2 linked regions of the Drosophila melanogaster genome follow. The protein of the gene in region 2 interacts with the protein of the main gene of each other region in a pairwise test. Each region holds a gene or a part of one and is shown on either strand. Other genes may lie near its edges.

Region 1 (3,921 bases), on a different chromosome or scaffold from region 2:
CGTATCAACAACGCATCCAAGCCTACCATGAGCAGCAGAACTACCAAGCACCCGAGTCGCATACCACGGCAGTTGAGCTGCAGCAAAGATTTCTCCTTCCGCCACCTCCGTATTGCCAATCCAGCAGCAGGACCTGCACCCAAGTTAGTCCCTCTGCCCGGAAAGTGAGGCGTTGTCGCACAAGGATTTCTGAGCTGGGAACGGATCCGTATCCTTGCCAAATAAGAACTCCCTTGCCGCCAGCTTCGCTGATCTTGCCCGGCCACCGGAATTTGCAATCCCAACCCCTTGAGCCCAGAAACGACCATTTCGGAATAAACTCGGTCATGTCCAACTACGTGGCTAGCTTTATGAACATGCAGGCTGATCGATAATTACTTTTAATTACAGTTCATTGTTTAACGAACATTACTTGTGATATAAGTCCTAGCTGCTGTAGAAATTGTGAAAGAATTCATTTTTTATGTATCATAAAATATTTATAAATAGGGTTTAAATATTACAAACTAATAAACGAAAAAAAAACCTTAAAAGTGACTCTCTCTTCATATTGCAAGAATAAATATTCTTATTATTGAATTCAATTAAGAAATAGTGGCAAGCTGCTTGCTTAAAAGTCTTGGAATTTTATTACACTTTCTTCTTTTACAGTGTAGGAGTGGCTCTTAGTCCCCTTCCCTAGCGACCATCTCTTGGAGGAGCTCGCACCAAGCCGGGATGCCAGAAGCAGTTGGAGCAGTTGCAGCGCGGACAATGCCAGCAGTTTCCGCACTTCATGCACACATTTCCGGTCGCATGTTGGGTGGGCGAGGAGCAGGGGGATGGACCTGGTACGGATCCGCCACTGTCCCAGAGATCCTTGTTCCGGAGACACGAACGACTGCGCTTCGGGCTGGCCGAACGAGCTCTTGGCAGCCCGGCGGCGGAGGCAGATGTGGCTGTTGGGGATGATGACGAGGATGGTGGTTGTGGTGGTGCAGCTGGAGGAGCACAAGGAGCTGCCGGCGGGCAATGAGGCTCTCTCTTCGCCGAACTGGAATCTGGCTGATCTAGAAACCTAACCGTGGGCGCATACAGCTGGAAAGCCAGAGGCTGGGGGATCTGCAGGTCACAACAGGACCTCTCCCGTTCCTTGCGCAATTCGGCCAGCAGGCGATTGAAGGACAGGTCGTACTGCACCAATTGCTGCAACGGCAGCTGCGAGTCCTGTGCGGGATTCGTCAGCAGCTGCTGATGCGTCAAGTGCTGCGGTTGGGCCAGCGGCACCAGGTTCCACGATGGCGGAACTGGAATCAGGCTGCACAAGTAAACGGGCTGATTTAAGCCACCATGGGAACTGGGTGGTGCCAGGCAAAAGATCTGCGGCATCGCTGGGGCTCCTTGAGCCAACGATGATTCCTGTCGATAGCATCTTGATGGATTTGGCTGCGAATCATATCCAGCGCATGGTCCACCGGCTGAACAACACTGGCCATGAAAGCTGCAAGGAGAGGCCTGGATGGGATTGGGCATCGGAGTTGGATATGGATTGGCACTAGGACTGGCACTTGGACCGGCTGTACCTGGCTGGCCAAATCTGTCCAAGCCACCATTGAACTGGGTACAGCTCGAGCAGATCATGTGATTTTTGTATTCATCCAAATTGAAAGAATTCGGCAGTGGCACATTGCAGTCAATGCTGGAGAGGAAGGGAGTAGAAATCGAATCACTTTTCATGGAAATTCATGTATAAATTACCTCAGACCCTCTGGACACTCGGTGACCAGGCACATGCCCAGTCGCGGTGGTTCCACCTCGGACTTGGAGGGCACATCGTTGGTCGACAGTGGAGCGTAGGACATGGTGAACTGATGCTGTGAATTTCCCTGCGACTGCAGGCCGCCACCGTTTCCATTGGCGATCAGCTTGCCCGACGAGGTTGCATTGCATCCGTGCTCACAGCTCTCCGTGCAGAACATCTTCAACTCTTCACCACCCGGAGAGGCCAACTCACGGATATGACAATTTTGTGTACATGTTAAAGCACAAAAGGTGTAGAAATGTTTGACATCATAAAGCTGAGACATACTGATTGATACCAGACTTGCTTCTCTAGTATATAATTTGAATTATTTTAAGAAATAAATACTGTTTCAAGTTTTTAAATAATTTTATCTTATTAATATTAATATGGTTCTAAAATCTTAAACACCAAGAACGTTTTGGTCACTACTTACACAGTAAGGGAAATCCAGTTTCGATGAGCATTTCAAAGTTGACAGTACATTTGTCGCCTGATATACTTTTTGATATGCGTTAGGAAACATCAACTCACAACACCCGGAAAACACATCAAAATTCAGGAAAATGGAGGCCCCAGGCGAGAATGAATCATCAGGGCAATTGGCCAAATCAAATGACGAAACGGTGGCCAAATGCTGTTTCATGATTACCGTGGGCACTGATGGTCTCATCGAAATTAGCTCACTTAATCAGGAATGCAAGAATCCCCAAAGCGGAGCAGACAGTAGTAACTCCCCACTGACGAATGGCACTAAGGAAACCAAGAAAGAGTGCATAGCTGTGCTCAAAGGGAATTCAAATGACATCGATGATGACTCAACTGAAAAGCTGGAGAAGAGCAAGAATGACAAGTCCATAGAGGAGATCAAGAAAACCGAAACTTTGCCGCCTTTCGTTAAGATCTGCAACAAGGATCTGGCGAATAGACCTTCGTTCGTGGTTCTCGAGGATGCTTTGGCTAGGAATCGGATTCAACAGGACATAGAACAGTCGAAGGAAGACCAAACCGGCAAGTGTCAGACGCAGCAGACCTCGCGTTCCTACGCCATTTCTAATGCAGGATCCCAGACGGACAAAGCCTTTCCGCAGTATCCAACCACCAGCAATAGCAACCAGAAAGGTTATATTATTCATTTTAGATTGCTTCTATATTTATGTTCCTTCCTCCCTCTTTATTCCCCAGGTAACACTGTACAAGCCGCTCGGAAGTTATCCCTTCAAACTGCAGCCCAGGTCCGACAAAAACTTTTAAAATTAAATCGGGAGCAACAGCAACAACAGCGACAACCGTCGCTGAATGAGCAGCATCAACAGCAAATGTCCTTGCTGCAACATCAGAACATGCAGCAGAATGTGCTGCAGCAGCAGCAGCAACATATGCAGCAGCATTTGACGCTGCAGCAACACCCGAACGTGCGAGTTCAACCGACCAACAACTCGCCATATGTGACCATCAGTTTTATGCACATGAATCAGCCGGGGACGGCAACATCGGGTTGTCCTGTCATGTATCCTGGCCAGCAGTTCCTGTGCGCCACGCCGAGCAGCATGTCCAGCTGCTCCTGCTGCACGTGCAGCAATTGCTGTCCGTCGAGGACGAGTCAAGTCTGCCCAATGCAGATGGGCAATCAGTATCAATGTCCAGCCAACGGAAGCAACTGCTGCATGTTGAAGCCGGAGAGTTTTGCAAACGGCTGCTACAACGGTGGTACATCCTGCTGTCCTTTGTCGAGCATGGAATCACATCCTTCTATGGGATTAGGTGGTCAGATCAGCCAGCACATGATGCACCCAGTTCTCGGAACCTCCACTTGTGCGCTGCAGCAGCAGCCGAATATTCCGATTTCTGGAGGATTTTATCCCTGTTGCTCGTGCCAATCCTTGTGCAACCAGTGTTCCCAGTGCAGGACGCACCCCCATCCTTGTTGCCACTGCCTGGGACCCTTCAACAACCAACAGGTGTTCCAATCACAGCAGCAGCAGCAACAAGCCCAAAGTGTCTGCTGCCCCTTGAAACCAAGCCAGCGACGCAGCAGCTTCTACCCATCCAAGGAAAAGTCACTAAAGTCCAGCGAAAGATCCCACAATCAGGATGGTATAAAGCCCATATTTAACAAGAAGGCCCAGGTTCAGGAGAAA
Region 2 (3,921 bases):
CATCCAAATCCTCCTGCCGATGGTGATGGTGATGATGATGATGATCCTGCTCCTCATCATCGTCCAGCAAATAGGGCTTAAATAGCTTGACCTGTTTAGAGGGCAGCTTGTGCTCCTCCGGCTGCTCCGTCTCCACGTCCACCTCCACATCCTCGTTCTCCGTTTCCGTTTCGGGCTCCTTCTTGATCACCTCCTCCAGCTTACTAATCTTATCCGGCTGCATCGGACTAGTGATGACCTTACGTTTGCGGAAAGTGAGATCCACACCAGATGGATCCTTTTCGTGCAACTGCATTTGACGGCGGGCAGAGGATCCGAGAGAGAGGTCCATGGGGGCTGGTGTGGCAACCGCCTCCAGTCGATTCTCCAAATAGCCATGCAGATTGTGATGGTAGGCAAAGGGCACATGTGGAATGTGACTGGCTGACGATGTGGACCCAGGGGATCCGCTCAGGATTGGCACTTGTATTGGCACTTGGTTGCTGTTGCAGCTATTGCTGCTGCTGCTGCTGTTGTGGCAACTACTGTTATTGCTGCTCGGCAATGTGTTGCTGCTGCTGCTGCTGCTGGCGGGGATTGTTGCTGTCGGTGTGGGATTGCCATTGCTGGTGGCCATGGCGGCGGCAACAACAGCGGCTATTTTGGCCGCCGAAAGGACATTCGAGGATCCCTGATTGCTGCCATTGGTAGCAATGGTTGCAGGTGTCTCCTGCTGTGACTGCTGCTGATCCTGTTGCTGCTGCTCCTGCTGCAACTGCTGCTGCTGCTGCTGTTGCTCCTTCTGATGCTGCATTTGAGGATGCATTGCCACCGGGACATGCAAGTGGGGATGGGCGGCCAGGGGGTGTGGAACCATGCCATTGGCTGCCAGCAAATGGTGGGCGGCATGATGGTGGGCTGCTGCTGCTGCTGCTGCCGCTGCTGCTGCCGCCGCTGCTGCTGCAGCGTGATGATGATGGGCGGCATGATGGTGGGCGGCATGATGATGATGATGACCCACCGCGGCGGCGTGATGGTGATGCAACTGGTGCACCAGCGGATGGCTCAGCTGATGGAACACCTTGACCGCCGGTGTCGGCGATACCGATTGCTGTGGGAGTAGTTGCTGCTGCTGCTGTTGTTGCTGCTGTTGCTGTTGCTGCTGCTGCTGCTGTTGCTGATTGTTGGCCACCGATGATCGCAAATTTGACTCGCATTGCAACCATTTTTGGATTTGCCGGCGGTGAATGTTGTATTTCCTGGCCGTGGCCCGTTGATTGCCCTTGCAATCATTATCATTCCTGTATGATTCGAGGACTTGCAGCTTAAAGTGGGGCGTGAAAATCCGACGACTTCCCATTTTGGGGCTGCCCGAAGAATTGCCATTATTTGTGTGGCTGTTTGTGGCATTCTCCGAAGAATCCTTGGGCCGCTTGAAATTCAAAGCTCCCGATCCGTTCAACTGTTCGCTGCTGCTATCCATGATTATGGTTTATTTTCGTGGCGTTCTTTAAAGATTGTTTTTATTTTCCCAAGATTCTGGTCAGTTTTGTGTGTATTTTTGTTGATTTTAATGTAGCGAAATAATAGTCAAACAAGTGTGTTTTGCAGTAGTAGTAGGTAGTAAGTTTTAGGTGCTTTTGTTGTAGCTGTTGTTGCTACTTGCGTGCGACGCTTGCGCTTTCATAACTCGCGATCTGGCAGCTCTGTCCCCAAAGCAGCGACGTCGACTGCGACGCGTCTCACATACACACACTGGCACACACTCGCTCTGATACTTTTTGGAGTTTATTTGAAAGCACTTTTCAAAATCCGTTTCAAATCTATATAGTTGTGTATATTTCGATTGGTATAGATCGGATAAATAAAACACAGTTAAAAAAAATATATGTCTGCGTGCTGTTGCTTCTTCTGCTCTTTTCCTTTTCTTGTTAGCTACTTCTCGTACGTTTTACTACGCTCTTCTCATAACTCGCGTTTGCGATCCGCACGGCAAGGAATCCAAAACACAATTGTTCTGCCCTCGGCGTTCTAGTTCGAAGATACGTTCTAGACTGCCTCGCCTCGGCCGGCGTCGCTGCCGGCGCCGCCGTCGACTGCGGTTCACTCTGAAATGCTCACGCACACAGGCGTAAAGTGCCTGCCTGTCTGCTGTGCGCTGCTGTTGTTGTTGCTGCTGTTCGTGTGGGTGTTCGTGTGCGTGCAGCAGTGGGAGAGAGAGTGAGAGGGGGAGCTAGAGAGCGAGCAACAGAGAGAGAGCGCATGGCGCTGAAGCTGAGCATTGCAGACAAACTGACGACAATCGTGTCGCGAGGTGTCTGCGCTTGCATGTGTGCGTGCTTGGAGTGCAAGTGCGAGCGGGATGCCATAATACCAGTTCCCTTTTGCGGCGCTTTTGTTGCTGCTGTGCCGTGCTGTGCTGAGTTGTGTGCACGGTGGGACCGAATGGACAACATGGGACGGAGCAACCCATTCCCCCGTCCCTGTGCGCCACAGTCTTTGTCCACTCTTTTCGATTGCCACAGTCACCCGACTGACTGACTAACTGACAAACACCGCGAACCGCACAGTGGGACCAATTCGTATGGCTTTTTTTTATATAAAAAATAAAAAAAATATTATATGATACCTAAAAACATGGAATAGAACAAATCAAAAGATAACATTTTTAACAGCGAGATAATATAACACATTTTCTTCTTCTTTAATAATTAAAAAACCCTTTATCAATTTATAGGCCATCGAGTCAATAAGTGAAACGCGTTTCAAATTCTTCTATCTCTAAAACATTGTTAGCTATCTGCCAACAACAGATTATTGTTTTAAACATAAACCCAAAGTCGACAAATGTTCGCACTACTTGGAAACCATTTTTAAATTCTGTTTACAAAAATTAGTTTTTTACATGTATTAGTAGGCCCACACTTAACCCTTTGCTGGCAGCTTTTTGTGCCACTGTGTCGCAGCACAGTTTGTTAGCGGCTGCGGTTGCTGTTGCCGTGTTGCGTTGTGTTGTTGTTTCTGGCTGCGCTACAAATTCGCTGGCTCTGCCAGTTGCTCATACAGATACACACACGCACACACACGTGTGCAAAAGGCACCTTTGAATGGTGTGCGTGTGTGCGCCAGAGTCGTGGCTGCCAGACATTCTGGCACTGCCACTCCACACGCCGCCCTCCCCCATACCCCTTCCACATCGGCCAGAGCCCCCCACCCCTTTTGACCCACACCCCTGTGCCCACGTCCCCCGTCAGCATACACACACACATCCGTAGAAACCGCGCAACAGATCGTCGAACGAACTTGTTGAGCGCCGCTCTCTCGCCAACCAAACCGCCCGCTCTCTCTCTTCCTTTTGCTCTCTCTTGAATCAACTGTTGAATGCATTGCTGCATTTTTTATATTTTTACACACACATAGAGCCAGACGAACACAGAGGTTTCCAACTATCTTGGTTTTTTTTTTACTCGTTGTTATGGCCGTGGGTGCATATATACCATATAGCTTTAGCTTATTTCTGTCGACGTTGCCGCCGTTCTGTCTAAGCTTAGAAAAATTGAAAAAATAAAACAATGCAACGAAAAAGAACTAAAAGGGCATGCAATAAGTGCAGCAACAATATGTGTACAAGAGAACCTCTCCGCACTTGTTGCAAATGACAAACCGAAATGCTGCCTCTGCTTCGTTACCAGCTTACTCTGCTTCTTCTGTTCTCCTGCCTCGGCAAAATCTGGATTCATGAATGAAACACACACACACACTGCCGCAGACACCTCGCTCTCTTTCGCTATTTGCATGCGTGTGTGGTTCTGTGTGTGCGTGATTTTTTTTTGTCGGAGACAGTGGGCTGCTTCGCTTGCGTGTGTATGCAAATTTATGAAAATAAAAATAGAAAAAATGACATAAAACAAATCAAATATATGGTGTTGTTGTTGAGCATCA

The links.
Region 1: the proteins of brk (region 2) and hale interact in a two-hybrid assay, tested with the Drosophila melanogaster proteins (2 studies listed by BioGRID).

Annotation. Positions count from the first base shown.
Region 1 is NT_037436.4:19,983,818-19,987,738, forward strand, and holds hale (hale-bopp), read right to left. Parts: upstream 2,052-3,921; 5' UTR 1,959-2,051; coding exon 1,738-1,958; intron 1,679-1,737; coding exon 679-1,678; 3' UTR 609-678; downstream 1-608. Other genes in the region: CG17732 (uncharacterized protein), read left to right, coding at 1-374; schuy (schumacher-levy), read left to right, coding at 2,347-2,902, 2,966-3,921.
Region 2 is NC_004354.4:7,306,014-7,309,934, reverse strand, and holds the start of brk (brinker), read right to left. Parts: upstream 1,997-3,921; 5' UTR 1,463-1,996; coding exon 1-1,462.